Drosophila melanogaster: one gene and its partners. Changing the gene in region 2 together with the main gene of any one other region gives a genetic interaction. Each region holds a gene or a part of one and is shown on either strand. Other genes may lie near its edges. The genes, in order: Pld, sktl, rdgA and PRL-1.

Region 1 (8,323 bases), about 15 Mb from region 2:
GCTCGACAACCGCTTCGTCTGTGCAGTCCCGGAACACTCCCTCTCCCTCTTCATTGTTGGAGTTCTCCTCCGACGCGTCCTCTTCCCCGCTGCCATGTTCTTCGTCCGAGTTGGTAAGTGCGTAGGGCGGCAAGGCGCCTCCAACGGTGCCGGCATCTGCCATCGCCTCGTACTGGGCAAAGTAGTAGGAACTGTCTAAATCATCGTAGCCTCTGTTAACGTAGCCGCCATAGTGCGCCGGCCGGTAAACATCGTCAGTGGGGTGTTCAACTGCAAGATGACAGATAAAAGGAATGGGCGTAAGGAAGACAATAAATTTTAACAGATTTAACCTTAAACTAGAAGTATTGGTGAGTCCCATGACGATCACAATTATATTTCAAACCCATGATACTTGCGGCATGTGTTATTTGTGTAAAATCAAAAAGAGTTGCAAATGTAAAGTTCCCTCTGTGATTTTACCTAACATAAAATAGATTAAATGGCTAGGTGACCTTTAGTTGTCAGTTTCCCAGCCATGCTAAGTACATGTGTAAGTTCTATTTCATGTTGGGTAAGATTGGCACAACATTTAAAAATACTGGTAAACATAAATTAAAAACATTTTTTATATAACTTGAAGTATATATTTTTCTAGTCTAATAATAAAATTTAAATTGTTTGATGTTCGAAAAGCCATGAATGTAAATATAACATTTTTGAGATATGTCCCCCGGCTGAACGGCCTGTGTTGTAACCATTAAATGGTAATAATTAGCAAGTGCTATCTACATTCGAAACAGAAGCTCGCTCAAGGTCAGAGCTCACGACATGTGGTGTAGTTAAGTTTAATGCATTATGGTCGGCTGAACTTGACATAGGAACCCTGCTCGAACCTTGAAAACATTTAAAGCTAAATACACACGACGCACCTCCTTCGCCCGTAAGTATAGCATTTTCCTTAGCTCAGTGCTACTGGCTGAGAACGCAAATCAGAGGAGAATATTAGGTATCGTACGCATCTTTTGGAGATACAGTTTTGCCATATACCTGTCCTAATCTCTACTGTTCTGTTTTCCCAAAATACTTGAGCAATCAGCTTCTAGCTGATTGACATTTAGATAGCAAGCCCAAATAAAACGGCACAACAAATAGATTAGGCCATACTGCACAGTAGGTAGGCCAACCAATGACGGTTAAGTGAGTTTATGGATGCGGCACGGCTTTGCAAAAGTGCACAGGTTCAGTTATCGACGATAGTAATAAACAGAATAAATCAGTACTTAGTCAAGTGCTTTGATTAGCAGACAATAACAGGTGTCCTGTCCTATTCGCCTATTCACAGAGTAACTTTATTTCTGTCCGCTGAGTACCGCGTATAGAAATATTTAAAATTCAAAAATCGAAAATGGTTTTTTAAAAAAAAAAGGTAGCGACACCTGAAAATTTTTGTTAAGATACTGTTTCAGAAGTTGTTGGTTTAATTTATCAAACAATTGAACGAGTCATAACTTACGATTGCTCCTTATCACTTGTGATAATTAAAATAAACTGGAACGCCGAGTGCAAAGAATTTGATAATGGCCGTCAATGATCAATGACATTGGGGCACTTCCATGATACCCTATCATAATAAGTGCCATCAAAGTTTTATTACCACACTTTTACATACACAGGCTAGCTTATGGGCAAGTTCAACTGGCAGGCATAAATTCTTGGTATTGAATTCGTTATTATATGGGTAGTGAAAATAACGAGTGTTGGCATATGCCTTATCACGAAGCTCTTTTTGCTATCAGCTTCAAGTCACCAAACAAAAACTTCTGGAGGCAAAAACAAAAACTTCTTTAATGCTCGAGTTCCATGATTTGTGATAAAAGTGAAAAAATAAAAAAATTTAAGTCCATCAAAAATGTATTTGATTAGACGAATCGTTAAAGAGAATTGTGGATATAATTAAACCTTGGACCTATTATTCAATCATCGGCCGCCGTTTTCAGAAATTTAAGGCGGTATAATAAGTGTAACACCGTACTCAATAAAAGAACCATAATTTCTTAACACCTTTTCACTTTCAAAGCGATTTGCCGAACTCATTAGTTTTGGCTCATTGGTTTTGGCAAGCAAATTAACTTAAAAAAAACTTGACACTTTTATCACTAACAGATAAGACGAATAGAAGTAACCCCATTTTGTTTCAAGAATATACAATTTTTCGTTGAAAAAACTAAACTCCAACCACAATAATACGTTTTTATGGTGGCGAATAAAGCTGTGGTATCCCATTCCTATTGATAGGGCATTGGTGTGAAAAAAAACTAGTTCTAAATTGCCGAATTAAATGTTACTTAAACATTTTTGATTTAACTGAAAAATTCTGTTATATGCATTGTATTTTTTTTTGCAGGAATGTTAATGCTTTCCATTTAATGCCCGTTATCAAAATGTCCTCAGACCGAGGGCGTTCATTTTGAATCGCCTTTGTTTAGCGGGTTTTGTCAGTGGCCGGTCTACTGAAAAGGTTATTAAACCCACCGATCGCTTGCTTCACCTGACCTACACACAATTGCAAAGAAATCGAAACTTCCTGTTGCAATGATCGAGCATGAGTACAAATGTAAATCAGGCTCGATATATTTTTAACAATATCGGCATGTATCGTTACTTGCAGCGCGTCATGCATTTTAAAATTGATTATGATTCATTTACTAATTGCACCGTTAGGCCGAGCCCAACACGCAATTTGATGGAAGCAATAAGTGGGTAAAGGCTTATATAATCCAAAGGAAACGGGTATTGTTCGGCTAATTTATTATTTAGGCAATGAAATCGTTATCAGTTCTTGGTTCCCTACACTACTACACTTATTTAAGTTCGACTGCACACTCATTGTTATAAATCGCCCCAAATTGAAACAATGAAAACTTGGTGCAGAATGATTTTTCACTTTCGCATACCATAACACCTACCGCCAACCAGTTCTAAATGTTGAAATATCTTAGCAAACATGATCACTCTTATCTCATCTCACGATGACGCACATATTTCATTGCCGCTCTACGAGAACCAAGTAATCTATGCAAATGAAAATATCTTTATCTTCAGATCTAAAAATTACCCATGCTGGCCATCAGCTGTGAGATGCTGCGGCGATGACGTCGGACCTGCAAATGTGGCAAGTTGGCGTTCGATGACGCCTGCCGGGGCAGTTGCAGTTGCTGGGCCTCATGGTTCTTGCTGGTTTTGGTATCCAAGCACGTGGCCATCATTGTTGTGTGCGCTTTACGCGGGCTATTTAATGGGCTCTATTTTATTTTTGGCAATCGGTTTTTGGCTTTATAGATAGGAAGCTTTTGTTGTCGGCTCCAGTTTTTTGCATTTCTCAGTCGCATCGACAGTTCGCCTACGTGAAAAATGTCCGTTCTGCGGCCTGCGGAGGCTGTTTAAACCACAAATTATAAATACCGCGTTTGTGTATAATGGACTTATTGCCGTGGAGGTAAGTAGAGGAAGGAAGGATACTTTGCGCCACGAAAATAATCATTTAAATTAATTTTGCCTTCCAAGTTTCATTCAGTCACAGCGTGTATACTTTTCTTTTTTTATATCCCTTGCATTGAAAAATAATTAATTAAATTTTTATCATGGCATATCGTTATCTTTGCGTGAACACAAAACCAAGTTTTGCAAATATAACTGAATGTTTCGCGTGCTCTTTATATTCGTTGGTATTTGGCTTTTGGCGCTTCCAGCTCATTAAAGGTTTGCACAATGGCCAACTAACACACGCACAAATTTTTTGTTTTTCTGCTTTCGCATATTTTACTTTTTTCACTCGGCTACATGGCTTCGCGAGATGGTGCTTTATAACTTGTATCTTTGCATCTCACAGATGCTTATCAAGTTATCAAGTTGGAGTGCGTCTGAAAGATTGTCACGTTTGCATGCGATATGCAGCACTTTGTTTACTTTTCGAGCCACCGACTAACGGAAGTTGCAGAACCGAAAAAAGCGCGACGTCGCATTGAATTCGTCAAAGAGAGTAATGCCACGCTATGTGAAAAAAACCAAACTGAAGACACCTCACACTCACACTTTGAGCCCCCGGCAAAAAGCTCGCCTTACCGCCACGATCTGCGATCCACGAGAAACGTTGCGACAACTTGGCCGTCACTCCGGTTAATAATATTAACTAAACCTCGCGACGCAGCCAAAAGCTTAGGTCGCCGAGCTCAAAACGGTTAACGGGTAACGGTTACGGCGAGAGCGTCAATGCCGCAAGTTGGTAATGGAGAGGGAGTTTTCCAGAGCACAGCTGCGAACTTCAAAACAGCTGGCAAAGCTTTTCATAATCTCCAAGATATTGAAATGCGATAGCCCGAAAACCCTTCGACTGTTCTAAGGTATTATGCAAATAAAAACATAATGGGCTTCTACGGCAAGGTCAGCCACAATCCATAAGAACAAGTTCTCTGCCGAGGCATTGGCACAAACTCTACAAGCTTTCCAAAGCTTTCTGCGCGGTTCACACACCTTTTAAAAATCGCTGATCGAGTACAGGCCTATTGTCGGACCCGCAACAATGGTCGAGGAGTCGATGAGTCACAACGGCACTTTGGGTGTGCATGTAGCTCTGCTTAGTATCTATTGCGGCTATCTTATCGGCAACACTAGACTTGGGCACAATCGCTGTAATCAGAACTCATTATTTGTACGACCCCAATGAAGTGCGCAGGATAAATAACCGAATTACAATTAGCATTCGATTAGATTGTCCCACGCGGGGCAACTGAATTTCAATAACTTAAATTATTGACCCCTAGTTCGGAACTAAGTAAAAATAAAATCAAAAGTATGTTTTAGAGACTATGTCCAAGTTAGTGACTCGGTAAAAACATTTGACGATCGCATCATGCCAAATACCATACCAAACTTTAGTGACGAAAAATTATTTTCGGACATTTAATAAAAATCCCCTTTCATCCCAAAAAAAACATGAGCCTATCGAACAATAACTTTATTCTAAATATTTTCAAATTATAGTTAGCTGTTGAGAAATGAGACTAAGCTTTCGAAGGGATAGTGCTCCGGTAGCGGTTTGGATAAGGTAGTTGACTCGTTCGATATTATTTAAACAATTCAGAAATTAGTACATTGTTATCTTCCATAAATCTAATCTAAGAAATATACTGTCCTAATATAAGTTTTCCTTCTGTCACTCAAAGAAATTTTTAAGTAATTAAGTTTTGGTGCTGACTTCTATTTGGTCATTGAATTTCGTATTGGGTCTGCTAACTTTGAAGTAGTGATAGCTTTTATTACTAGTGTAGTGAATTCTTTGTAAACTTGTTATTTAGTATATAATATAATATATTATAATAGTTGCCCAAGACGAAAAAAGAACCTGTTTGTCACTTCCAAAATATAACAGATAGAAAGTTGCCAAGCCCCCCTAATGCCTATAGCCGCCTAAAACTTGCACATCCTTGCACTTTTAAAAAATGTTTTCAAATTTTTTTTTATATTTTTATTACACTTGTAAATTTTTATCGATTTACCAAAAAACTTTTTGCCACGCCCATACTTTCAAATTTGTTTAAATATTTTCTCAATCAATTCACCATTTCCACTAACTGAGTAACGGGTATCTGACTGTCAGAACATAAGTCGAATATAGCATTTTTGTTGTACCCGTTACTCGTAGAGTAAAAGGGTATACTAGATTCGTTAAAAAGTATGTAACAGACAAAACGTTTTCGACCATATAAAGTATATTATTTATTTATTATTATAAAGTATATATATTCTTGATCAGAACCAATAGCCGAGTTGATCTGGCCATGTCAGTCTGTCCGTATGAACACCACCATCTCAGGAACCATTATAGCTAGAGAGTTGAGATTAGATAAAACGATTCTAGAGGCACGCCCACAACCGCCCAAAACTGACACACCTTTTGAAAATGTTTTAATATTTTTTTTTTTGATCGTTGTGGGAAACCACATTCTAATTCTTTAGGTCTATGCGTTGCCTATTAGATTTTACTAATATCACTATTAGCTTGGTCACACTTGTGAAATATACATAAATAGTGATAAGATAAGAAATGTGCTTCTATAATCCGCTCCTGTCATTAAAGACAGAGTATTGGTTTAGAGGTTCATATTCCAAGAAATTAAAATCAGGGCCAAAAATGGTTTGCAGTGTGTCGACGTTACATTGGGTGTGGCTACGTTTGGAAATAAGCATACGTGTGGAAAGTCTTTAGGATCTGTATGCTGAATCCTTTATAGGTACAGAGATCCCGAAGTTCAAATGGATATACGAACGGACATAATCGACTCAATTAATAATCTTGATCAAGAATTTATATACTTTCCTTGGTCGAAAAGACTTTGTTTTACATGTTGGATACTTTTAAAAGAATCTAGTATACCCTTTAACTGATCTAGGGATGTGGGACTAAACAAGAATAAGTAGCAACATATGTTCATACGTATCCATAATATCACCTGACAACATCCTTATCTAAAAGCATATTTAATCTAAAATTGATTAGCAACTGGTACCTAATGATTATTAAAATCCGAAGCTTCGTTGGAGAACATTTTCCAGCACATGGTTCTGGGTGACTTCTAAAGTAAAAACTTATTTTAGTGTCCTTGTGTCTGATGATTTGGGGAAAAATTTTAACTTGCCTTTTGCCATATATTGAAATTTTAAACTGCCTGAACCCACAATTTGTTTAAATGATATTGTAATAATATATGTTAAACCATTTTTGGACACAAAATTCACAAGTTTTTACCACGTTTCACACATTTTATTTGTGCAACTTTTATCCATCTTCTTTTTTCCAAAGCAGGCCAACTATTTTATAAATATTGGTATAAAATAAATCAATCAATGGTATAAAATTTATCAATTTAAATAAAGTTAAAAATACGCACTTTAATGTGTTTTTATGAATTTAAAGCACTCACATGCTTGCGGCTACTGCTGAAATAGGTTTAGCTCTTAATCTGATGCCAGAAGTTGTGGCTTAACTTCTCCGTCGTGGACTCCAAACTGGCACTGAAAGCTGGAGACCTCAGCAGTGGGTTAAGTGTATATATGTACATTTATACATATGTATTACTTCATTTAAATGCTTTCGTATGGCAGACTTAACACTTTGATAATTGGTGAAATAAGATCAAATCAATTGAGGCGCCACATGAACACGTTTCGTGAGCACACAAGAAACAATTTAAAAATATTAAAATGTTGGTCAATGGCACACACACTTCTATCGCGGCATTTTTATTATTGGTGTCGAGCAAGACCCCTTCTGGGCAAATCTTTGCTCAAATCTTTGCTTGTCACGGTTTTTGTTTGCCGAGAGAGCTCCGACCAGCGTCGCTATAAGTCAAATTCGAAACTGATCAAAACGCCAAGCGAACGTGGAAATGAGAACGATCAGCAGAGATTTCTCGCTGGAAGCGCGATGTATAGGGAGAGAGCGGAGAGTGAAAGTTCATTGAGCTTAGCACTCGTTCTTTCTTTCCTCAGATCAGGCTAAACTGCATTTGATTTATTTTTCAATTAACAATTACTTCGAACCTTTCACTTAAATTTAAATTTTACTTCAAAATTCAAAAGTTTCTGTTCGCGTTCATCTTACTCCACGCCTAGCAAAACGCACTTGACTGACCAAACTGACTGACATTTTGAGCAGGAGCTTTTGCCTGGAAAGCTTAAACGAGACAGTCCAAACACATACACATACATGCAGATACGTACGCTTCGATCAAACAGCTGATCCGAGAACTTTAATGCGACGCTGTCAACTAAGCCGATGAAACTCAAAAATTTATCAGTACAATTGGGTCATCGCAATAACAAGACTTTAAGGAAATCGGAAATAAAGCTAACGAGGGTGCATTTTATTACGACGGCCAATTTATCTAATATATTGGCAAGGATCTATGCTGAAATAGTAAATGTGGTTTTTATACCCTTGTTCGTAGGGTATACTAGACTCGTGAAAAAGTATTTAACAGGGACACACCAGTCGATCTGGCCATGTCTGTCCTTCTGTAAGTATCAACCGCACGGTCTCGCCAACTGCAATCAGTCACAAAACTAGTCGTTGCAACTTGCAAGGTACTCTACAAATAAGTAGTTTTTGTTTTTAATGAGTAACAAAATTTTAATTCGATTTTTTTCTTTAGCGTAACGCACTTATTTAATTTTAAGCCAAGAGAGAATGCTATAGTCGAGTGCCTCGACTATCAGATACCCGTTACTCAGCTAGTAGTGGTCGAGTGGGACCAAATTTCATAATTTTTCTGGCTTATCGATA
Region 2 (7,918 bases):
CAGACACGTTCAAATGCATAAATAAACGTACAACTGCACTGGGAAAAATTGTGTTGTCTCAATTTTGAATACAATTATCTTAGTGAATTTTTAATGTGCAATTTGTCAAAGTTCTGATATCCATGTTCAAGCTTTAATTTCTACCAGAGTGTATGAAAATTTAATAATATTATCCGTGGCTAATCTATTTCTTTTCCAAACACTTCTCTATCCAAAAAAACAAATATTTTCTCTATCTGCACGAACAAATGGGAAACGTTTGCTGAAAAACACAAACAATTAAGGCCGAAATCCACAAAATTATTATAGGAAAGTCATTATTTTGTGTGTGGCTTGTTGTATTTTGAAAAATGGAAAATGAAACCAAAACATGGCCACGATGGGCGTGGCAGGGGGCGCATCATAAGTGGGAGGCCATTCAGCTGGCTCGTGTGTGTTTATTTTCGTAAACTTTTAGATTGTCGCTCGGCGGATATGTCGGCGGCATCTCCTATATATCTTTCCTCGTGTCTGTTTTCCTTTTTTTTTTTAATATTTATCGCACGCATGACACGTCAAATAGAACAAAAACAACAATAATTGTACGTTAACAACGGAAAGTTTTGCCAAATTCAGTGAATGAAACTAAACTAACTGAAATGTGCGAGGCTAGTTGCTTTATTAGCAATAACGTTGGATCTTATTTAAATGGAAGAAGTCCCTCTAAAGTTAATAACTTGCCACTTGACCCTCGTTTTTGTGGTCGTTGTTGTTGTGTTGCTGTTGCTGTGGCTGCTTTTGCCTTGGGACCATTTGTTGTGAATTATGAGCTTGCAATTATAGCGTTTTGCCGTTTTTATTTGTAATTTAATTAGCGTACTTACACAGAAATGCTCGAGGGAATAGTTTGCTAGAGGTCAAAAAAACCGAAAGATATCCAGCGAAAAGAGATAATTATTTGCCCTCGGCTGTTCTCTACTCCTCTCCGTCTCCCTCTCTTTCTTTCAATCGGCACCTCTCTTTCGCTCGCTTTGTGTATTCGTTGATCGGCTCAAGGCGCGTTTATCTGTAGCGCTTTCTCTGTCGCTCCGCCGCCGTCGCTGTTGTTGTTTGTGGCGTACTTCCTCCTTTTGCTTCCCCTTTTATCCAGCTCTTTCGATTTCCACTTTCCGCTTGATAAATTGCTTTCATAATTTACAACAATATCTCAACGAATTTGAATTCTCCGTGCACACCTGGTTTATTGTGTGTGGTGTGTGCGTGTGTGTTTGTGACTGAGGATGACGTCGTCGTGCGGCAATCTTGGATATTCCTCATCGAAGTGCCGCATTTTGCATTTTCCCACACCCACTTCAATCGGCGATCGTCGTCCGCCAAAAGTTAACCCGATTTTTCGAGAGCCTTCCGCTGCAATGTATCCACTCCGCGAACTTTAAAACCAGGCGAAAATCAAATATTTCTCGGCAAGAGAAAACTGTTGATGAGTCGTTCGCGCAGAAGATTTTTACGCGTGTTATCGTTTATCGCTTGCGCTGGCGTTAGTTAATTTTGTGCTGCGCGGTATATTTTGCGGTATTATTTCATTACATTGTTTTTTTTTTTTACCTTCTGCTAGTTTCCAAGTTTCCCACCACGGAGAGAGTCTTTGCTGATCAGCAACAAAGCGCAGTGTTGTAAAGTGCCACGTACACTTGTTATAAAAAATTTTTAATTCTGCTATAAAGTCAGTTACAATGCAAACTACTTGTGTTAAAATAAGTGAAAATTGTTCGGATTAGTAGTTTAAAACTATTTAAGAAAAACATACAATAAAAACAGTTTTTATTACTATTTGCCTAAGCTTCGTTACATTTCAAGCAGCTTGATTTAGGATTTAAGATCGAAAAGCGGGCCGTGCGATTCATACTATATTTGGAAGAGAAATGTGTGGATATCTAGACTCAAATAATAATTTCAATTTTTTCACAGGAATTGCTTTGCGGCCGAACAACACCAATCTAATTAGGGAACACCTACAAAGACGACTTCCCAGCCGACGGCGCAATTCTAATTGGATTAGCCAGCGAAGCCGGTGAAGAAGGCATTTCAGGACCCTCTGCCCTTGACCACTGAATTTTTCTGTGGTTCGTTTGTCTCATTACCACCTCCCCCTGCCACGGCACGCCGTTTAAATTGATTGAAAAACAGCCCCTCAATCGATATTTATATCTACATGGGCCAGTCATGAGTAATTCTGCTCATTAGTAGGCAAAGGCAAAGTAATGTAAAAAATGTTTAGCTAACAATCCGGTTTCCACGAGGAGAAATAGCTGAGCTGAGATGCGATGAGTTAATGAGGCTCACAAAGTCACAAATTGCACTTAATTGGGTGTGTTGCATAGTGTAGAAATTGATGTATTGTACATTAAATTCGTGACTAAGAAAATAAGACAATTTTCGAAGTTCGTTGTACTTTTGCCGGCTAATTAGGCACAAAAGGCAGTCGAAATTCATATGCAAATGCCTAATAGAGTTGTCGCCAAACAAGTTTGCGACCAAATAGAATTCTAAAGTCTGCGACAATCTGCCAATTAATTTAAAAATAGAGACAAAATAATTTATGCACTTCAATCTGCGAAAACAGAAAGAAATCAACGGAACTCTTTGCCATATCGCATGAAGATATGATAATGGTTCGTTATCGAAAGCATTTCATAATAAACAAATCAAGAAAAAAAAAAACAGAAAAAAAGCGAGGGAAGCGTGTTGAATAACAAATTTAAGTTCTGGTCAGTTTAAAAGGTACGAATAATGGGAATTGCATCGCAAAATTCAACTGAGAACGGCCAGCGAAAATACAGAAATTACACAGAAAATGTTAATCATGATAATTAAGTTAATATGCGGGGTGGTTAAGTGTTAACTGAACTTGGCTCATTGGGGTCAGCCGCACAAATTGGACACAAGGTGAAATGGGGGAAAGTTGAATGGGGTGGATGGGGTAAATTTCCCCGCTCGTAACCCCGATTAATTAACCAAAAGTTACGGCCCAACCAGATCAAAATCGATTGGACAAAGGCCAGAGCATTGATTAATCCGGCATCCAGCATAATTATTTTAATAGTTTTGACATTTAAACGACAAATTAAAATGGAATAAATGCAAAATAAGAGTAATAAATTTTAATTGCTTGCCACGCCCCTTCCGCGCATCACTTGCGCCCACTGGCAGCTGTTGCATTGATTATAATGAAATTATTATTTATTTATATCGCATCTTTGCGCCATTGCATAATTAATTGTTGTCGTTCGAGTGGCAAACAATTAAATAATAAATCAGTTTTAAACAATCATTTAATTATGTAAAAAACTGAATGAACGCATTAAAACCGTGCAATTATTCAAGTCGCGGCAGCCATAATCCGTTCAATAGAATCGACCATTGTTGCAAAATGTCAAACTGACACATGAGTGAGCAAAAAACAAAGAGTTGCAAATGGTTTAGCAAATGCAATCGACGAAATGTTCCATTTCGCGACATTCCCTGACATTTAACCGACCTGTTCGATGGAAAATCAATAAACTAAGCCAAATTAAACGTTAATCCCACTCAAATGGACAATCATCATTGCTTTGGCATTTCCCATCTAACGGTAGCAACATATCGAACTGGCATTATATACCACTGCTGCTACCGTCGACACCAATTGTCAATGATATCGATCTCTTGGCCGCAACAGGTGAGTGACTTCCAGTGCCGACTGGTTTCCACGTCCAGACGTCCAGGTAATAACACCTCTCCTGATGACCGCCGTAATGGCCGGTGTTTAGCACTCTAATGGAGCCATCGAGACCGCAGAAACGCTCTTAAACTGGAACTAGATCAGTGAGATTATGCGGTGCTCCCTTGATTATTGCAATTAGGCGCGGGCAAACTGAAATTAGGGAAATCTGCGAAACACCACAATGCGGTGAGATTGAAATCGTGCCACTGATATATTCTGAGGTTTCCAGATGAGTCGAGATAACAAGTATTCGAGGTGGCGAAAGCCAACTTCTTCAAATGCATAAGCTGATTAAAATGTAAGAGACCAACCAAAACATTCAAAGAAACTTAAAAATCTTCTTTTAGAAATGTTTTTTATTTCAAGCTACATAACTGGATATTTTTGAGGACTGACTGGAATGTTATTCAATGTAACCCATTCACAACTGCCTTAGAGGTGACTCTTTCCTAGCCAGCAGACTATCACATCTGTGTGCACACATTTCTTTACCCAACCCAATTAGCGTTATCCAATGCTGGGGGCTTAGTCACCAGCACCCCCAGCTCATTCATTCCCCATCAACCTGATCAGTCACCTTAGCCCACTGCCTCCCCCAATTATACGATACATACGTATCTCAGGCAGTTATGTATCCACTCCGGTATCCCCAAGCGCACGGATGACTCATTTGTGGGATCTACGTTATAAAGAACATTCGGAGAAAAGCGAACGAAATCAGTTTGCGGTCTGACGACTTTGACTTTGTGAGGCTCCTGAGTCATAAAACGCGGCTTAGCGAGGTCCTCGAATGAGCAAAAATAAAAACCATCGGAATTTACTTCAATAAATGGGCGGAGGTACATAAATATATACATATGTCTGTAGTTTGTGATTATGTGAATTAAGGCATGTGTAATTACGAGGGGCGTATGCGGAATCGTATTGAATATTTGTGTTTATTGTTAAGCTTATTGGGGTCAAAGCATTCCGAATGTGCTTTACGGTTTATTGTGGCCAAAACTTACCGCTTTCCTGTATAAACAATGCCGAGGTAATCCCAAGTTTGGCTTATGCTTTTGTTGTTGTTTCGGCCGCCACTGATGGATAGTAAAATGTGTATTTCAAGCACGTGTCATTTGATTACTTTTGGGCACCACAAAACTTGACAGTGCGTATGTGTAGTGGGTGGCTGGGTGGTGGGGGTGCTGCACCCACAAGACAAAGCGTAAATAGTTTAACACTGCACAACGGTAAACACAAGTCGACACGACACTCAACGAACGTGGTTAACCCGAACGATACGAAAACAATGATCGAACACAAATATCTCGCGACGATCGCAGCGGTTGCGTCTGCGTGCTTCGACTGCTGGGAATCGAATGAGCGGCTACAGTTGGCGACTTCGACTCAGACTTCTAATTCCCGGGGTGGGAGAGCAGTAAGCCGGAGAGTCGGAGTCAAATTACCTGGGTGAGTAAGGTAGGCAGTGCTGGCAGCTTGACTACTTTCTAGCTAAGGATATCTAATACAATGTTTTAATTGAGTGCATACTTTGAATTATGTGTCTTAAGGTACTGAAAATTAAAGTATTATTAGCTGCTATTATCAGTATCAAGTTTTTATAGGTGATCATAAATCAAATTGAGCATATATCAGCATTTCTAGCTCCTTTAATTGTGAATCTGGCTAACTTTTAGCTACACGGGGTGTGTTATCAACATGGTGCGCTCTCACCTTTCTCTCTTTCGCTCTCCCTATTTGTTTAATAATAACGGGCATAATGAAGAGCATTGTTCGCTTTGTCGCGTTCGTTGTTGTAGTAGTTGGTGGTGGTTTATGCGCTTTTGTTGCTATTTCTTATCACTCACTCCTGTCTTCCCTCTCGCTCTTCTGCGCCAGCTGTTCCGGTAGCATTTTCAAAGGTGCGATCTCTCGCTATCTCTTTCATCTGCTACGCATGCGCAGCTGCCTGAGATTTTGGATTTTTGATTAGGTTCGCTTGTTATTGTTACTGCGATTTTGTGCGAATTTTGGGCGCAATTTTAAGGCAGTTATCTTTTCGTTTAGACTATTTCAACCCTTTGGTATTTCCGTTTCGAAATTTGTTTGATGACTTGCGCAAGTTTGAACACTTCTGGGTGATAAGATTACCCGAAACTTTTAAATGCCCTGTAAATAAAGCCCATTCATTCATGAACGCTCGTGGCCATAAAACGAAAATGTGCCACAAATACACAGTGTTACACTAAAAATTATGAGCAATCGACAGCAATTAGGCAATTGAACAATTTTGCACCAATTATTACAGCCATAAGAGTTCGATCGCCCACCCGTTCGTCGGTGAAAATAATTAAGAGGAGCCCACGATGTGTTTGCTCTTTTCACTATTGCCAATTTGAGATAGTTTCCAAATTGCGAAACTAACTGAAACAATAAGCAAAAGCACAGAGCCAAGTAAGCAAATTAAATCCACAAACAACTAATGAACAAAGTGCACTGAAACTAACAAATGAAAACAATGTTTCGCTTATGAAGGATCGAAATTCATAGAATAAAACCAATATTCAATACTGTATCTCGTTTAACATCTGTTTGCTATTGACACCTTTCAAGAAATTTTAACAACGCGTAGCAATAAAAAAAAAAAATGACAATAAATGCCATTTTCAAATGGCTATACAAATAAATCGTGTCCAAACCGAGAGTTTTAAATCATTAACACAATGTAAACTAAATAGACAATCTGATTTGACTAATAATGGTTTGGGCCGAAAACTTTGAAAAGCACAATCAATTGTCATTTATTGACATTTGTTTATTTTATTTGCTTGCTGACAGTTATGCCTAACTTTTTGTTTATATGAAATGCCATGGCATTGACCCCCAAACTTTTCAGTGTGGAGCCTCACAAAATGAGACAGTTCTGGGGAGCTAGAGGAGTTGGAGTTCAGAGTGCACACGAATGGAATTTCGCCCCATTCGTTGTCAATGTAATTTGTCAGTTCAAAGACCCCGTGCAGCACGAGGACTCCGATTCCAACTACAACTAGTTGTCGTGCCATCCAGCCAGGATGCAAAAGGACCCCGGATCCTACGTGCAAGATGTTTACATCGCGGCGTCGCCCTGACAAATGTGCCAAGTGTGCGGACGTGCGCCCAGGTCCCAGTTCCCAGTACCCAGTACCCAGTTTTCCAGCTCCCAGTTACCAGATCCCAGCTCCTAGCTCCTAGAGCCCAAAAACGCAGATCCCCGAGTCGAGTGCAGCTAAAAAAAATGTAATCAATGTATTTTTGTCACGTTAACGAAATGCACGAGCCTCGCAGCTCAGCTCAGTTCAGCCGGAGCAGCTGCCATAAAAGGACACTGAGAGAAACGTATCCACCTTAAGTGCAAGGAACACCATTTTGGTTGTTACATAGATGTGAAATTAAACAAGACCAAGCAAGTATGATCTTATCTTTAGAATATTTCTAAGAACTATAAGTTCTTGGCTTAGTTCCAAAACTAAAACTCATATAACTAAGTTAATTTTTCTCAGTGTAGCTTCACTTCCTTCGTCACCGCTCGAACAAACATAAATTGTGTCTGTCTTTCATTCTGTTTGTCGAGCTGCCTGAATTTGCACGGAGTGACAATAACAACAACAACATCCATAGTAAGTACTAGTATGACTGCAACTACAACTGAGCTACAGATGACGGAGAAGAATGAGTCGAAATGCCGGGCAGAATGCACAAAGGATTGTCAGGGAGAAATGTCACGTCGTTTGGCAGCAATTATCCCCAGAGCCCAATGAGAGCATTGACTGAGCGAATGAGTCCTGCGTCTGCGAAGGATTCCGGTTGAGATTTGGATGCTAAGACTGAGGCCCGAAATCTAGACGGCAGCTGCCAGACTTTGGCGCGAGCTACAATGCAATTGCCGTACAGTGAGCACTCGCTAAGGGTTGCAGATGCCGTGATTTACCTGAGTTCTGCGCACCTTTTCGCCTTAAGATGTTCAAACTATATATGTCAAGATACATTGGGAAAGCAAAATAACATTCGTTTAAAGACTGAGCTAAACTGTATTTCTCGACACTTCAAAAAGGATATTTGACACAGTTTCTTGAGTTATGCACATCAAGTTTGGTTCTGCCTGTTCCATAGTTCAATCCCATATAGCGCACATAGGTACTACGAGTATACATCCCT
Region 3 (8,334 bases), on a different chromosome or scaffold from region 2:
ACTATCGCATTGAACTTTATACAAATTTTGAGTCAAGAAATTGGCTTTATTTCTTTTTAAAACCAACTGGGCTCTTAAACTCTTTTAAACAAAAGCCAAGCTGCATGAATTTTGCTTTCAGAAATTTTGATTAATAGCATCGCACTCGAAGTAATCCCAATGGATGCGCATATAAAACCGTATCGTTGATACGATAACAATGCAACTGAAATCTAGATCCGTGCGGCAACATTGTTTTCCACTTAAAATGCCATCAGGTAGGACTTCATTCCAACGCTGTCGTTCTGATATTTTCCATCATAATATTTATTTAGCCAAATGCCCCCCAAAGCCATGTTATCAATACAACCCACCTAAACTAGCTCAAAGAAGCTGGGGTCGGAAAAATCGAATTTTTGAAATTTGAAAGCTGGAATCGTTTGCCCATTTTTTGCCCATGTTTGCCCACCAATTAGTTTTTTTTGCCCACGTCCAGTTTTTGAGATATGAATTTTCGAAAAAGTTCGAAAATTTTCGAAAATCAAAAATTTCGCTTTTTTCAAAAATTTTTTTTTTAAATCGCAATAACATCGTTTGCCCACGTTTGCCCACCCTTTAGAATTTTGAAAAAATTTATACTTTAGAAAATATAAGGCTTTTAAGTTTACCTCGGTCTAATCAGAGAGTAAATCGTTTGCCCATCTCTTAAAACCAAATATTATCAACAAAAAACGTTTGCCCAACCATTATTATTAGTTTTTATCGTTTGCCCACCCTTTAAAAAACCTTTAACAAAAATTTTTTTTCGATTGCCCACATTTAAAATACAACCAATTTCCTTAGCCCACCTCTTTAAAATAAAAATTTCCAATAAAAAACGTTTGCCCACCATTTAAAACTAAATAATTTCGATTGCCCACCTTTTAAAACTAAATAATTTCGTTTGCCCACCCTTTAAAATTTGTTTTTTTCGTTTGCCCACTCTTAAAACTAAATAATTTCGATTGCCCACCTTTTAAAACTAAATAATTTCGTTTGCCCATCCTTTAAAATTCATTTTTAACGTTTGCCCACCCTTTAAAAATAAATTATTTCGTTTGCCCACCCTTTAAAATTTGTTTTTTTCGTTTGCCCACTCTTAAAACTAAATAATTTCGATTGCCCACCTTTTAAAACTAAATAATTTCGTTTGCCCATCCTTTAAAATTCATTTTTAACGTTTGCCCACCCTTTAAAAATAAATTATTTCGTTTGCCCACCCTTTAAAATTTGTTTTTTTCGTTTGCCCACTCTTAAAACTAAATAATTTCGATTGCCCACCTTTTAAAACTAAATAATTTCGTTTGCCCATCCTTTAAAATTCATTTTTAACGTTTGCCCACCCTTTAAAAATAAATTATTTCGTTTGCCCATCCTTTAAAATTCATTTTTAACGTTTGCCCACCCTTTAAAATTTGTTTTTTTCGTTTGCCCACCTCTTAAAAATGGTTTTTTCGATTTTTCACCTATTAAAAATAAATTTGTACATATGTATGTAATAATTGTAAGATGTGGCGTCAAAAGCACAGTTACTTACAAAAGAACAGTTATTTACATATTTACATACATTTTCAATATATCCATAGTGTTAATCATTCATGAATTGTAACATCAATTTTTCTTAATCATTGTTTCATTTCATGGAAAATATTTTATTCCAGAATTTTCTTGAGCTTGGAGGGTGTTGATAAACATACATACATTTTTTTGCATATATATTATATTGCAATATAAAATATTTTCCATGAAATGAAACAATGATTAAGAAAAATTGATGTTACAATTCATGAATGATTAACACTATGGATATATTGAAAATGTATGTAAATATGTAAATAACTGTTCTTTTGTAAGTAACTGTGCTTTTGACGCCACATCTTACAATTATTACATACATATGTACAAATTTATTTTTAATAGGTGAAAAATCGAAAAAACCATTTTTAAGAGGTGGGCAAACGAAAAAAACAAATTTTAAAGGGTGGGCAAACGAAATTATTTAGTTTTAAAAGGTGGGCAATCGAAATTATTTAGTTTTAAATGGTGGGCAAACGTTTTTTATTGGAAATTTTTATTTTAAAGAGGTGGGCTAAGGAAATTGGTTGTATTTTAAATGTGGGCAATCGAAAAAAAATTTTTGTTAAAGGTTTTTTAAAGGGTGGGCAAACGATAAAAACTAATAATAATGGTTGGGCAAACGTTTTTTGTTGATAATATTTGGTTTTAAGAGATGGGCAAACGATTTACTCTCTGATTAGACCGAGGTAAACTTAAAAGCCTTATATTTTCTAAAGTATAAATTTTTTCAAAATTCTAAAGGGTGGGCAAACGTGGGCAAACGATGTTATTGCGATTTAAAAAAAAAAATTTTGAAAAAAGCGAAATTTTTGATTTTCGAAAATTTTCGAACTTTTTCGAAAATTCATATCTCAAAAACTGGACGTGGGCAAAAAAACTAATTGGTGGGCAAACATGGGCAAAAAATGGGCAAACGATTCCAGCTTTCAAATTTCAAAAATTCGATTTTTCCGACCCCAGCTTCTTTGAGCTACCTAAACTGCCACACACAACAATGATTGATTGTGGAAATTTTTGTGGGGGTAAAAAATGGTGAATAAATTACCACACTGGTTGGTAATTGGTTTGGTTTGCAATGCAATTCCATTCGATATTGAAATTCCCAAAAATTGTTCAAATGGCAATTTCTATTAATTAACACGGTGCTTTTGGCAAAGGAAACACCCTTACAAATGGATATACAATCTGCAATCAAAATGCGATGCATACGTGTTTCCCCCTCGTTGCTGTCAAATAGCCCGCGGTATCTTTCGACCATTTTCATTCTCTTTTCTGTTTTTTTTTTTTTCTTCTTTTTTTTGTATTTTGTTTTCAATTTTTATGTGTATTTTTATTGGATTTTATATGCGAACCCAACCCCTGGGTCACGAATAAAAAAAAAGCGACAAGAAATGAAAATTGAATATTTTATGTGAAGCGAAGCAAACAAGAGCAAACAAAAAATTGTGGATCAACAATTGAAACATCGCGTTTTTATATGTACGCAAGACAAATGGGTAGCAATTTCTTTATTTCAGAAACAAACAAAGTCGCCTAAAACAAAAATCTTTAAACCATTTCAAAGCGCACACATTTATTATTACAAATATGTGCAGGCTTCATTCATGTTTATACTTTGGTGATTTAAAATGTAAATTCTTCGTATTGATTAAAAAAAAAATATATAAATTTAAAGTTTCCTTAGAGAAATTTAAATTGTATATTTACACTTGGTTACCGCGACGAAGTGCCTTCGTCGTTGAATGCAAACTTGAGGACAACAAACGAGCGGAAGCACAAACACAAATGCCACGTATACGCCACGTTGTCTGACATTTTCCCCTGTTACCGGGGAAATGCGAAATCAAAGATTGCCAACCGCACAGAGTGCCGCCTTTCGCCATTACGTTATTTTCGCCATTTCGCGCTCTTATGTCAGAGAAAAGCCGGTCACGCGCCAATACAAGAGCTGCAACATCCTCCAGCATGCAGTTCCTTAAACGCACCGATTAGCAAAAGGACACGTACACGAAGGATGCGTGTGCGGATGTCGTTGCGGATGCCAGTGCGGATGCGAATGTGGCAACAAGTTCGGCTAACGAGACTGGCTGGCCGACAAGAGCACACCCAAATCCTTAACCGGAGTGGCCTAAAAAAAACCTAAACCGCTCGCTTTGGCCAGCAATTTTCAATGAATGGCATCGTTTAATACAATTGCCCACACGGCGTATGCGTAACGAGTTTGTTTCGCCGTGTTTTTGCCGAATTTCGAACCGAAATTGCAGACGATTTTTCATTAAATCATCTTATTGACACACAGACATTCGAAAGTAGGGGGATACTCTGAGACAATGAGAATGTTGGTAATTGAATTTATACAGAATGAAAAGCAAAGGGCATTCCACGGAATTTTATTCAAAATTACACATTGTTGCACACATATTTGTGGAGCCTAAAAAGAGCTCGAGCTTTAAATAATTTTTAAAAAATTACTGCTTTAAACTAAGATATATTAATATATTCAAGCAATTCGAGTCAACTATTTTACATCTGTGGAATTTTGAAACTCTTTGTAAACTATAAAATCCGATTATATTTTATGATATTCCAAAAAAACTCATCAAATTCAACACAACAAGCTGAGAACCGAATTCTTGATAATTTCCATGCGTGATTCTATTAACTGAAGCATACAATACAATATTCTGTGGAGCTTTTCCTAAAACTACGAATATTTGCCAAAAATTGTAGCTGAAACTTTAAATAAATCTGGGAATCCCCATTTGAAGACTAAATATAAAAACATTTCCGAAAAATCACAATACAAACACGCTGCTCACAATCACACACGGCAAATAAACTCTCACATCACGAAATTAATCAACAAATTTTCCAAGGAAATTTTTCAATGAATTTCAATAAGTATATTCATATTTACCGTTTCGGTTTGCCGCTTTAGTTTTTCTTTACAATGGAACGCACTTTTCAGTCGTTCGAATCAAGTCAAAATTTCGTGCACATTTTTGCGTGCTTTTACACGTTAACAGTTAGGATTCAAAAAGCACAAAAACTAGATCTTAGTCTTACATAGTTTTAAGTTTTAAGTTTGTATCGTAGCTTATATTTCAAGTATTGAATAAATACTTTGGAATATCTTTGAATATTTTCGAATATTTGTACAAGTTAATATTGGTTTAGCACAACACTTAGAAGCACAATCAAAAAAATAGTTACTTTATATTTAGATATTGTAAGTTTTTCAGTATGTTTATGTTTTTCTTATGGTATGCGATGTTTTTGTTGTGTTTTGGGCGATGTTGGTGTTTTTTTTTAAGAACTTGGTAGTTCCAGAGAGTTTTGGTATTTTGCTTTGAAATGTTTGGCCTGCTTGGGCTGTTCTGCTATTTAAATGAGTTATTTATTTCTAGAACAACGCGCCTCGTCGACCGTTCAAATGAAACTGATGCGAAGGCGACGCATTGCCAGGAATATAAAGCGACCGGGAGCGAGAGGGCGCTATTGAGCATAAGCGCGGGAGCGAGCGAGAGGCCAGCAATCGGCCGGCAACTTCGGCTGTGGTCGGCAAAAGCCGAAGTACTATAAACACCTGTAAGCAGCCTTCGATGCCGGCGAGAGAGCGAGAGGGAGAGAGGGAGGGAGGGAGAGAGAGAGAGCGAGAGCGAGCAAGCGAGCGAGTGGCCGTATCGTTCTCACTCCCTCACCCTTTGCCGCCCAACGCCCACATACTCCCGCTCGCCCCGTCTCTGTCTCACACCCTCTCTCGCTCTCGCTCTCTCTCTTTCGCGCTCGCATTCGGAAGCGGAAGGAAACTCAACAGTTGGCACATTATTGAGTGGAGAGAGGAGCGGAGAAAGTAGAGCGGAGAAATGGCGAGAACTGCGGAGAAAGTGCGGGCGGCAGCGCTACTCTTTGTTTTTGTTGTCGCTGTTTGTTGCCATCAAATTTATGGCAATCATTTGTGCGGTGTTTTAAGTTGGTCCAACACAAGTGCCCAAACTATCGATAATTATCGAGAGAGAGAGAGAGAGAGAGAGAGTGATGGCGTGTGAGGGCGATGGAGGAAGTAAGGGATTAGAATAATCCAAACGATTATCGTAATGATATTGTTAGCTATTAGCAATCAGATTGTTTGCAATATCTAAAACAATTTAAATAAACGATTTTATGGCATTAATTATCGGTATAATCGGCAATATTGTTATCGATCAATATCATTCCTAACAACAGGAAGAAAGCTGCTTATATTTTTTTGAAAAATATTAAATCGAAGAAATCTTCAAGGAAATCATTGGTCTCATGTTCGGTGTCGACCTCGTCGAGTAACTTCTTCAATCTTCGTAATAGATCCTTGTCCTTTTCGAGAGTATCCAACAGTTGTTCAGCATCGCTTTTTAATAAGCCCAATTTACGTAGTAAACGTATCACACGCCTTTCAAATGGCGTAAAGGACTGACGTTTGAATCGGTTGTATCTCTGCGGCAGCTTCAAGGATATCTTGTGTTGTACAAATTCCACAGAATTCTCTTTATGTTTAGTAGTCGTTAGCTGCTCCTTAGATATCCCGTAGAATTCCTTATCACGACGTTCAAGGCTTAATCCAAAAGCGGCCAAAAAGACCAAGAGCCCAAAGATATGCAAGTAATGCATTTTTAAAAACTATGCACGGCCACGTTGTCCAACTTCTACTTATATACACTTTCAGTAGTGCACTTATCAGCAAAAAACAAATTAACTCAAACTCAATTAGAGATAGCTTCACACTGAGTTATGTCAATGCCGTGACTTTAGTTTAAAAATTTGCCCAAGAAGAGTCAAGAACATGACCTAACTTACTTAACACTGCGAGTCGCCCATTTCCTGCTCATATATTATTTAAATTGAAGAAATTATTACAAAACCAAAGTAGCATTGCGTTTTGCGTAACTCAAATAAGGGCAGTCAAACGAAAATTACCAACCGACTTTTATATTTTCCATAAATTTTATACTACTCGAGATGGATTGTGACAATTCGAGTTTGGAGGAGAAGCGAGAACGCGTTGACAATGCAATCCTAACCGCCATGGAGGATCTGGATCGGGATTATCTGCGCAAATTGCAGATCGAGATGCACAGATGTGCGACCGCCTGTTGTGCGGATGCGGACGCGAATGCGGAGGCGGTGGAGCGGTGCATCGATCGCTGCCAAATCCGTTTGACCCGATCACGCTGCTTCGTACAGCAGGGTATATCCGATTTTGAGAATCGCCTAGAGAAGTGCATCCAGCAGTGCCGCCTCAATGGATCCGATTATAGCTTGGAACGTTGCACCAGCAACTGCGTGGATAGCCATGTGGGATTGTTGCCCGAAATGTTTAGGGCTATGCGAGATACCCTGGAGAAAGGTGTTTAGCAAAACAGAACACTTATGGTTTGATTTAATTAAAATTATATTCGTTGGATTTAAACAAAAATGTCTTAATTTATATTATTTTATATTATATTTATTATTCAAAAATTCATTTAAAAAATATCATGGACTGTGAACCACCGATTTCCTTAAATGCCATCAAACACCTCTTAATTGCTAAATAGCGACTTAATTAATGCCAAACGGCAATTAGTAATCTAACACCAGTCGCCAATCGGCCGAGGAAATGTTTATTGATTTATTTACTAATTTAATCGATTATGCTGCAATTTTTGGTGACCCAAAAACATGCTTTTTATAAAGCAATTACGAGACCTCATTCCATCGAAGGATAATGGCCCAAAAGCAATACAGTCCACAAATTATTCATACGAACATGTTTCGTATGGTCTGTGATTTATTCAGCAACATAGAGAAAAACGCGCCGCATGTAAATGCTACCAATTGATTTTTTTTTTTTTTTTTTTTTTTTTCCATTACGATGATGTTTTTATTATTTGATCAACGCACTGTTACCCATGCGGCAACTTAATTTGATCTGCTTAAATTATTTTATTTTACAATGTGTCTTGGTTACTTAAGACTAACAGATTTTTAATCCTAAAAATGATAGGGAGAATTATAATAGTTGATATAACATAGTAATTATTATTTATTTGATTATTCTAATGAATTTTAAAACTAAGACTTTCTAGGTCAAAACCAGGTTAGGGAGGTCATGAGGGTGGTGTCGCTTGAGTCTTCTTTTGACTCTAGTCCGAGGGTCAGCATTGACCACAGCTGCAGTTCCTAGCTTCCTTGCTAGGCTGTTGGGGTGTACTCCAATTGATACGACAATAGCAATAATCTCCTCGTCACGGGCAATGTGGCATACTTTCAGGCGAGGCACACCAAAGTTTGGGCGCCAAAAACGGCGCACAATTGCAGCAGAGGAAGGAAACGGCAAGGAGAAACAAGGAGGTCTTCAAATTGGTTCGAAGCAAGGCAACGAAGTAGACATTATTTGAAAAAGGCATCTACGACCTGTCCGTCAATGAGTGCGCTGCAATTACCGTGGAAATTGGTCAGCGTTGCGTCTGCCTGCCTGAGCAATCGATAACCAATTGTGAAAACTGTACACTTATCGAAATAATCGATTTTCATAGTTTAAGACAAAAGAAACGAAATAGTGAACTGTTCATTCAATTGACGGGACCATTTAGTTACTTAAATGAGGAAGTAATTAGGTCAGCCATATTTGATCTATATTTCATGTCTATCGACAAGCAAATATCAAACGTATCGATACTACCGATAATCAGCTTTGTATTGCAATTCTATGTGGAGTTT
Region 4 (8,263 bases), on a different chromosome or scaffold from region 2:
CAACAACACTTTTTGTTGATGCTATATTTCCCAGTCGGTTTTTACTTGTGACTTATGCAATGTATTTTTTGTTTTGCGTCTTGGCGAAATTGAAAAATCACACAGGCAAATATATATGTAAATATCTATATATACATAGGTATTTCGCTATGCATTTAAGCAAATACAGTGATTAGTTGCTGATTACGACGGGGCGGCTTGTAACCCGTTGATATGGACTCCCGATTAGATATCGACAGGTGTTTGCCGGAAGACACTAATCGATTTTATCCGCGGATCGTAAAGCTTTCTCTCCTATCAGTTAATTCGAATATACTGAGGATTGGTCCTCCACATTCAGATTTGCCAGCGGATAAATTGTATTTACCTATCGTTAATCGCCCGTTATACGGCGAGATAGTATCTCGATTAAATATCGACAAGTGTCGATTCTGAGACGTTGATCGATTACGATTACCACAATAAGTAGACGCGTATTGCTGCGTGATGAGCACTCTCTCATGTTTTGCTATCGACTGGCGATTGTCAACTCTTCGCCGCCCATTTTACGCCACGGAAACGGCCGCTCCGTCCGGCAGTAAGTCTCCATTGCCGGGGAGAACGAAGAGAGAGTCGTGACGCACATCTCTCCAATCGCTCACGCAGAGAGCGAAAAAAAATTATCTACAGTCTGGTGCATATTTAAAGCGCTTTAAAAAGTCTGTTGTGCAAAAACAATAGAGGCAGGAAAAATAGAAACAATTTGCTTGGTTAGTTTTACTTTTCTACTGTTGAACATAATTAGCAGAGTTCAATGGACCATGAAAGGGCGAATTTTGTGCTTACTAAAAATGTTTAAATTTTAAAGCATTTTATTCGTTCTGGTATAGTAGTGACAATATAAGTAGTTCTGATTTAAAATCACGAGGGTATTTATTTTAAAATGTTAAATTGTTTAATTTTAGAAACTAGACAACAAGTTAGTTTGTATTCTGTTCTTTTTAAATATAGATCTTAAAATATTTTTTTCGACTTCGTCTCTGAAATAAGTTTCGAAAATAAACTCTACTAAAATTTTGAATATACCTGTATTTTCGAAGAAACGCAAATCATATTGACATTACCTAACAAACACTTATATTTATGACCAATACAAATTATTTCGCGTTAATGGCTTGGTATTTTAAAGTGCCAAAATGCTTATAGACATATAATCCGTAGGATATTCAAATAACTGTGTGGAAACGCTTTTTAAATCGGGGAATAAATAAATGATTGATAAGATCTTTAGCATATAAAGGTTTTTTTCCCCATCTAGCTACCTGACTTGGAAAGTGTTCAAATACAGCGAAGGAAAGTTTTGCAGTCAGATTATAACTTTTACGGGATGCCAAGGTCAGTCGTTATTTAAGGGCAATAAACAAAGCTAAATGCGGTTTATATTATGCACAGTTAATGAAGGCTACGGCGCACACAAACGTGTAACTTAATATGAAATTAGTCTTACATTTAAACCAGTTGATTATAATCGAGATGTAGGCAAATGGCATGACGACACTAATACCAAATTGCGGCTATATTGTTACTCGCTATATACAAACATACATGCATACATATGTACACATTTGTTCCACTTGAATGCTCCTCGCTACATACACAGATTTTCAAATACATTTTCCAATCAGTTAATACATCATAATGTCTTTAAACGACGAGTTTAATGAAATCAAACTTTTGATTCAAATCAACATAAAGATATTCGTGCAATTAGACAAAACTTCTTAACAGACTATTGTATCTTTGACAAAAAATACTTTTTGTTCTCTCCGAGGTAGCAGATGGTTTTGTCTGTGCGGAAAGTTGATTGGACTTTCCCGAAACAGGAGCAGACGACTTAGACCGAGGGCCAGACAAGAAGGAAACAAAGAACAAGGAACCGATGAAATCTGGAGGTAAGAAAGCAAACACAACTGAATGCCGGTGTGTCTGAGTTTGGATTCGGGGTTCAAAGTACTTCAATTCCAGTTCCCTTTTCTTTTTTTTTTTTTTTGTTTGTCCCCTCTTTCAGTTTTTGTTTAGACTTCGACTGCAATCCTGGCAAACAAGATCGCCCGATTTACGCCAATAATCACAGACTTGCAAAAAATAGTAGTAAAAGGTTGTAAACAAATTGAAAATGACTAACGGACGGGAAATGTGATGAGGGTAACTGCCACTCAAGCCTCAACTTACTAAGCTAAAGTCTGTCCACGGGTGTCAATAAAACCGGAGACGTGCCGAAAAAAAAAGCCAGACATAACGCAGACACTAAGAATACATTAAGTCTTATACACTTATTAAAAAAACAAAAACTAGCTACCTACATGGGGTAGAAAGCTGGTAGACTAAACATTCAATAAAACAGTACACTGTTACCAACTTGGAACTTAAATCATTGGAATCATTGGTATCTTAAATGAATATTGAGAATAATTGTAAATGATTTAGGATCAATAGATATAAATTCATCTTACAATAAATGTATAGTCAAGAAGATTGATATAGATAGATTGATATAGATAGATAGATATAGATAGATACGAGATATAGATAGATATAGATATAGATATAAAGCAAGCAAGAACCTTTTTTGTACTGCCAAACACATGAAAACCAAAACTTTTCTAAGTTTTGTTCACCTTAGATATTCGCGGCACGCTTTCAGATCAGATAAGTATGGGTATTGGAAACCCAAGTCAAATGAAAAGACAGCAAAAAAAAACACAGACCAAGCTCGAGTTATTGATTTTGCGCGACTAGCAAAGGAGGAAGGGCGATGTCCAAGCCCCAGCACCAACACCATCTCCATCTCCATCCATCCGCGATTTCCGTATTTCGCCATAATGGAAATTTTAAGTTTGCCCCGAAGCGTCTCGAGTGCTGCGAACCAGGAGGAGATGAGCAGGAAATGGTGGCCCCACCACGGGGGCAACTAGGATCTCAAACCGCCTTTTTCTAGTTGCCAAGTGGTCGCGCTGTTTTTCGTGACGCACCAGGCGGCGACTTCTCATGCGTCATCAACGACTTTTAATCGGAAAACAGCTGTTGTTGTTTTGTTTTGATAAAATGCAACCAAAACAAAAATAAATAAGCAATCTTGTCTCGTTATTGCAATTATCGAATGCATGCCTTCTCCTGCCACAAATTGCAGGTCCTTCAAGGTTGATTTACAGACAAGGATTACGTACATACATGCATAGTACATCAACAAAAAAGTGCCATTTTCCTGGTTAGTTTTGGGTACTGTGTACCTTAACCAAGGGCAGGCCAAAACTATTGAGGACAAACAGCGCCGCATTTATCGCGCACTATATATAGAATCCGGGGGTGGTCGGTGACATTTTCCCCTCCCATTTTCCACCAATCTACCACCCTCCACCCTCCACTGACGTTTGTAAATCGTATTGCATGCTTTGTTGTTCGCTTTTTGGTCTATTTTTGGATATGACATGTATTGGTGAAATTCTGCACACAAGCGGCCAAAACGTGACAGCAGTAAAAAAAAAAAAAAAAATAATACAGCACAATGATATATAACCGCGAAAAGTAGTCTGAAAGTTCGCAACTCTCATGCTACTTCGATATTTCTAATTAGCGAGTTCTTGACTTCTTCCTAACTAATGTGCGAGTGTATTTAATTAGCTGGCTGTAGAATTTAAGCTGCCGCTACTGTACGAGTATGACCTCAAAAGACCGTGAAATATACATTTATCTACATTCAATTAATTTTGAGAATTTCTATAATTACAACTTGACACATTTATAGATTTGGTTACAGATCACGGAGCAGTGAAAGTTGTAAATTTTAAATAAGTTTAATTTCGGTAATTGTCGAGTAAGCAAATTTATCGCACAACAACAAAAATTAAGAAGATGTTGAAGATGTTCAGAAAGATCCAATAAATTGCACTAAATCAAAATGACCTCAAACAAATTTGCTGGAAGCATTTCAATGAACGAAAGTATTGCCACACATTTCGAGGAATTCAATTGGCTTTCGATTCGATTGTGTGCGTGGGAATATGGAATATTTTAGAACTGGCGGAAAGCAGATAAACCCAGACAACAAAATACAAACAGCTGGAATACAAAATAACCAAGAAGCGTATACGTAATCTCTACACTGAGTTGAGATACATGTAGTAGTACTCTTGATAAGAAAATGGAATTTAATGCAATGCTAGATAGATAGGTATTCAATCTTGAAAAATGTATATCTGTATGATTGAAAGGAACCCTACCAAATTAATCGAGTTTTGTAATCGATGCGTTCAAGTTATGACGTCTTTTCGTATGAGTTTGTTCGGTATATTTTTGATAAAGTCAAACCGGATTTTAAAATTCTTCCCTTGGCTGATACGCTTATCTGCTCGCTCTTTTTTATCACGGATAAATAAAAAGAGAGAATGAAACCGAAAGAGATTCTTTTCTTTCTTTTGTTTGTATTGCCGTGGCCGGGGCACTATCATTGAACTTGTTCAAGGACAAGAGACCCCAAACGGAAATAAAAGGGAGAGAGCACAAGAAATCTGACAAGAGAACCGGTTAAAAAATGGATATCGTTGGGATTTTCAACCACCGGTTGGCGTATAATTGATATTCCTTTGGTGCGTATGGGACAGTTTCAGTTGCCAGGTTCCATTTCTATACCGCTTATACCGCTTTCAATACCAATTGACGCAATTTGCTGATATCGATTAGCAAACAGTGCGATCAAGATAAACACAGGTGGAAAAAATGCGAAAATTCGAGATAACAGCAAATCACAGCCAAACCTTGTTGAGTAACAACTGATTGTAAAATTGAAAGCTATGAACGAAGGCAATCTTTTTGCACTACAACTTTGCTCCGTCCACATTTGTTCAGTATAAAATGCCAACTGATTTGGCTGTTTTGTTCTAAAAAAAACAATTTCTCTCGGCCATGTCTTTTGTTTACTGTTTGCTCTGCCGCTTTGATATGATATAAATCTGCTCGAAATGTCTTCAACAGATTAGATATTAGATTAGAATCTACGTGTATGTACCTAGCAAATGACGTATGAAGATGATAAAAACTGCCAAAAAAAATAAGAGAAATAAACTTTAACTGGTGCAGTGCAAAATAGTTTTGGTCCCGTCCTAGTTCCGTTCGGATGGTAAAACTGGGTCAGCTGACATTTATTTTCAACTGGCGAAGGCAGTTAACCAGGTAACTGGGTCGAATGAAAGTAAAATGCGTGAAGTTACCCATTTATTGAAGTATATGATTGTTGTGTATGATAACAAATGGGACATTACATTACTTTCCTTAACGTTTTTTATGCAAGCACAGCAGAATTTGCAATTCGATTAATTTGATTGCGAAGAAAAGAATATTATTCATAGCAATTACACAGATTTGTTGGTATTTTGAGAAGAATACATTTAAAAAGTTCACATTCATATTTATAAAAAACGTAAACACAATTAGTTTATAACATATTCTAGTTTTACAAGATGACAATTGTTTATAGTTTTTGCACAGACAAATAAAAATGTAACTGGTTGATATATACTAAAAAAAAATTTAAACAAATTCCAGAAACTATTTCTAATGCCAACATGTTTTTTAAGACTATTTTTCGAATAAAACAAACAAAATCCAGTTAGAAATTGTTTAAACGAAAAAAATTGAATGTAAATGCCAACGCACGCACACAAGCACACATACTTTGTGGCTCAGTAGTTGTGCGAGTGTTCGTTGACGTTCGAAACAATTTATGCAACAAAAATGTATTATTTAAAAACTTGCGGCTGTAGCCGATCCCCTGCCGCACTTACCACAATTGCCATACACATTTGAGTATAACTTTTGAAGCTTTTTCGTTGCTTTTCGTGCACGAGAAAATTGAATTCACGTCCACACGCACACACAGACGCACCGCGAGACTCTCACCGACACGAATTCCACGAATGCAATTGGCTGGTGTGTGTTGCCTTTTACGACACAACTATTGCTCTTATTGCAACTGTAAATTGATTGTATCTTTAGCTTAAGTGTTTTTTATTGAATAGGATTGTTAAACTTTGGTTTTTCAGCGACATTAACGCAAAATTCATCTGCAGCTTAACCTCAAATTTCTTTGTGTCTGTCACGCACACACACACACAAACACAGTCAGCACGGGGCGGAACCAATGGTATAAGATGAATCTATCAATTTGACATGAATTAATCGGGCGAAAATAATATCTGTAGTTTCCAGCACGGATTGCACAATTTTTTCTACCGATTTCCAAGAGCAAAGTACTTGTAATCGAAGTAGGCGTTGCGAACAATTCGCTCGTTTGTGTTGGTAGACACGGATGGTGATTATATTCGATAATCTCGAACACTCGATAGAGCCGATAGTATCGAGTGCAATTAAGTGTTAGATAAACATCGATTGCGGGCAGAATCGATACTTTTTTGTAATAATTTAATTACCTATTTTGCAATTGTCTTTTAAAAACAGTTTTTTTTATTTTAAATGTAAGATGTGATTTTAAAGGAAGTTGTACAATATATATACATATATATTTATTTATAAACCGACATAAAATATATAATATTTTCAATATGTCACATACTTTCTTTTCTTATTCATCCAATAAGTCGTCTTATTTTGATTCTTGGTCTGTCCTTCCGAGAATATTCCAATTAAAATTATTCTCTATTGAAAAGAACTACCCTACTATTTACATTCGTAGTATCGCAACAGCAAGCGGCGATCTGAATTAGTCATCTTATCTCTTTCCGACAGAAGTGACGATCAATAGCCCAACGATTTTAAACGCTTTACTTCGAAGAACCTTAAATCGCCAATTTATCCAGAGGGGAATGTCCAAGCGCAAGGCCGAGGACACACAATCCGACAAAATGGCAACGGCCGAGAAAGTAGCACAGGTAATAAGCAACAGCCATAGAAAATAAACAAAAATAGTTTACAAACAATAACAACTATTGTCTGGACAGAACGATTACACCATTGGCCTGGTGGATCCCGTTAAGGATTACCAAAAGCTTATCGAAACACGCGTGCAGGTAGACGAAATCGTGGATGATGATGTCACCAAGGAGAATTTCGATCGAACGGCTGCAGCGGCGCGTGACGTCATCTGGCGGCTGTTATTCGACGAGGCCGGTACCTCGCAATCGAACACAGAGAAGGCCAGCCAATTGCTGGAGGAATACCGTGGTGACGCCTGCTTCTACGACCCGACGCCGTACAACGAATGGATTGTCAAGCTGAGGGATGAGGTTCTAAAGAAGGAACTCCTCGACTTTTGGCGCGATGTGCTGGTGAAGAAGCAACTCGGTCCCTGTTGGTCACGCGACAGTGATCTCTTTGACAGCGACGACACCCCGCCATTGGAGTTCTATGCCCATGCCGGTTGTACCGCTCCATTTGCAGCCAGCTTAAAGGTGCGCGCAGCACTCGAGGAGCAGGCTTCGCTGGATCAGGATGGGCCAGCGACGCCTACAACTCCGGGTGAACTGAGTGCCGATGATGCCGCCGCTCTGTCTGGCGAATTTGAGGCCACCCTGACCAAGGAAAATCCGCTCGAGGAATACCGAACTCTAATGAAGCGCTTTGTTCTGACCAAAATCATCGTTCCGGACAGCGTTCACCAGGCCAGCGTGAAGAAGATAGCGGCAGCCGCCAGGGAGATAATCTGGAAGCTGCTCTTCGATGGCACACCCTCAGCGGAGGATCAAAACAAGGCCGCCGAGCTGCTGCAGGAGTACAAGGGTGATGCTGGTTTCTATGGGCCCGACGACTACAACAGTTGGATTTTCAATCTGAGGGATGAGGTTCTCACCAAAGAGCTTCTCGACTTTTGGCGCGACAAGATGGTGAAAATGGAACTTGGTCCCAGTTGCGCCCGCGATTCCGACTATTACGACAACGAGGATCCGCTGCCATTCGAGTTTTACGAAAAGGCTGGTTGCAAGGCTCCCTTTGAAGGACCTGTAAATGATGATTAGTAGTGCATCTTTCATGACTGAAGGATTGTTTCCTTATGTACTAAAACACCTATTCTGGTCGTAATCTCTGAAGGCACACACAGTAAAGCATTTCAATATCTGAATTATGTTTCGAAATGTTAGAAATTGTTTAAAAATGAATAAAATGATAAGTATTTTATAACTGTTCTCAAAAATAGTGGTCCTTTTTATTATCTCGATCAGTAACAAATTATTTGTTCTCTTCATATTTCTTCAATAGCTTAAAGCATTTAAAA

The links.
Region 1: of sktl (region 2) and Pld, changing one suppresses a phenotype caused by changing the other (phenotypic suppression), as found in Drosophila melanogaster (one study listed by BioGRID).
Region 3: of sktl (region 2) and rdgA, changing one enhances a phenotype caused by changing the other (phenotypic enhancement), as found in Drosophila melanogaster (one study listed by BioGRID).
Region 4: of sktl (region 2) and PRL-1, changing one suppresses a phenotype caused by changing the other (phenotypic suppression), as found in Drosophila melanogaster (one study listed by BioGRID).

Annotation. Positions count from the first base shown.
Region 1 is NT_033778.4:6,241,359-6,249,681, reverse strand, and holds the start of Pld (phospholipase D), read right to left. Parts: upstream 4,171-8,323; 5' UTR 4,105-4,170; intron 3,419-4,104; 5' UTR 3,249-3,418; coding exon 3,098-3,248; intron 271-3,097; coding exon 1-270.
Region 2 is NT_033778.4:20,830,921-20,838,838, forward strand, and holds the start of sktl (skittles), read right to left. Parts: upstream 5,109-7,918; 5' UTR 4,750-5,108; intron 1,499-4,749; exon of another isoform or gene 864-1,498; intron 1-863. UniProt on the Drosophila melanogaster protein: Catalyzes the phosphorylation of phosphatidylinositol 4-phosphate (PtdIns[4]P) to form phosphatidylinositol 4,5-bisphosphate (PtdIns[4,5]P(2)), a lipid second messenger that regulates several cellular processes such as signal transduction, vesicle trafficking, actin cytoskeleton dynamics, cell adhesion, and cell motility.
Region 3 is NC_004354.4:8,921,876-8,930,209, reverse strand, and holds the start of rdgA (retinal degeneration A), read right to left. Parts: upstream 5,027-8,334; 5' UTR 4,514-5,026; intron 1-4,513. Other genes in the region: CG43255 (uncharacterized protein), read right to left, coding at 5,836-6,243; CG12661 (uncharacterized protein), read left to right, coding at 6,592-6,987. UniProt on the Drosophila melanogaster protein: Required for the maintenance of phospholipid turnover within the photoreceptor.
Region 4 is NT_033779.5:16,251,257-16,259,519, forward strand, and holds the start of PRL-1 (PRL-1 phosphatase), read right to left. Parts: upstream 6,351-8,263; 5' UTR 5,820-6,350; intron 4,900-5,819; exon of another isoform or gene 4,794-4,899; intron 533-4,793; exon of another isoform or gene 503-532; coding exon of another isoform or gene 374-502; exon of another isoform or gene 1-373. Other genes in the region: CG46309 (uncharacterized protein), read right to left, coding at 374-502; EndoGI (endonuclease G inhibitor), read left to right, coding at 6,858-6,923, 6,993-8,006. UniProt on the Drosophila melanogaster protein: Probable phosphatase. Inhibits growth possibly by negatively regulating Src64B-induced growth. Regulates central nervous system circuit formation and stabilization of synapse-dense terminal arbors.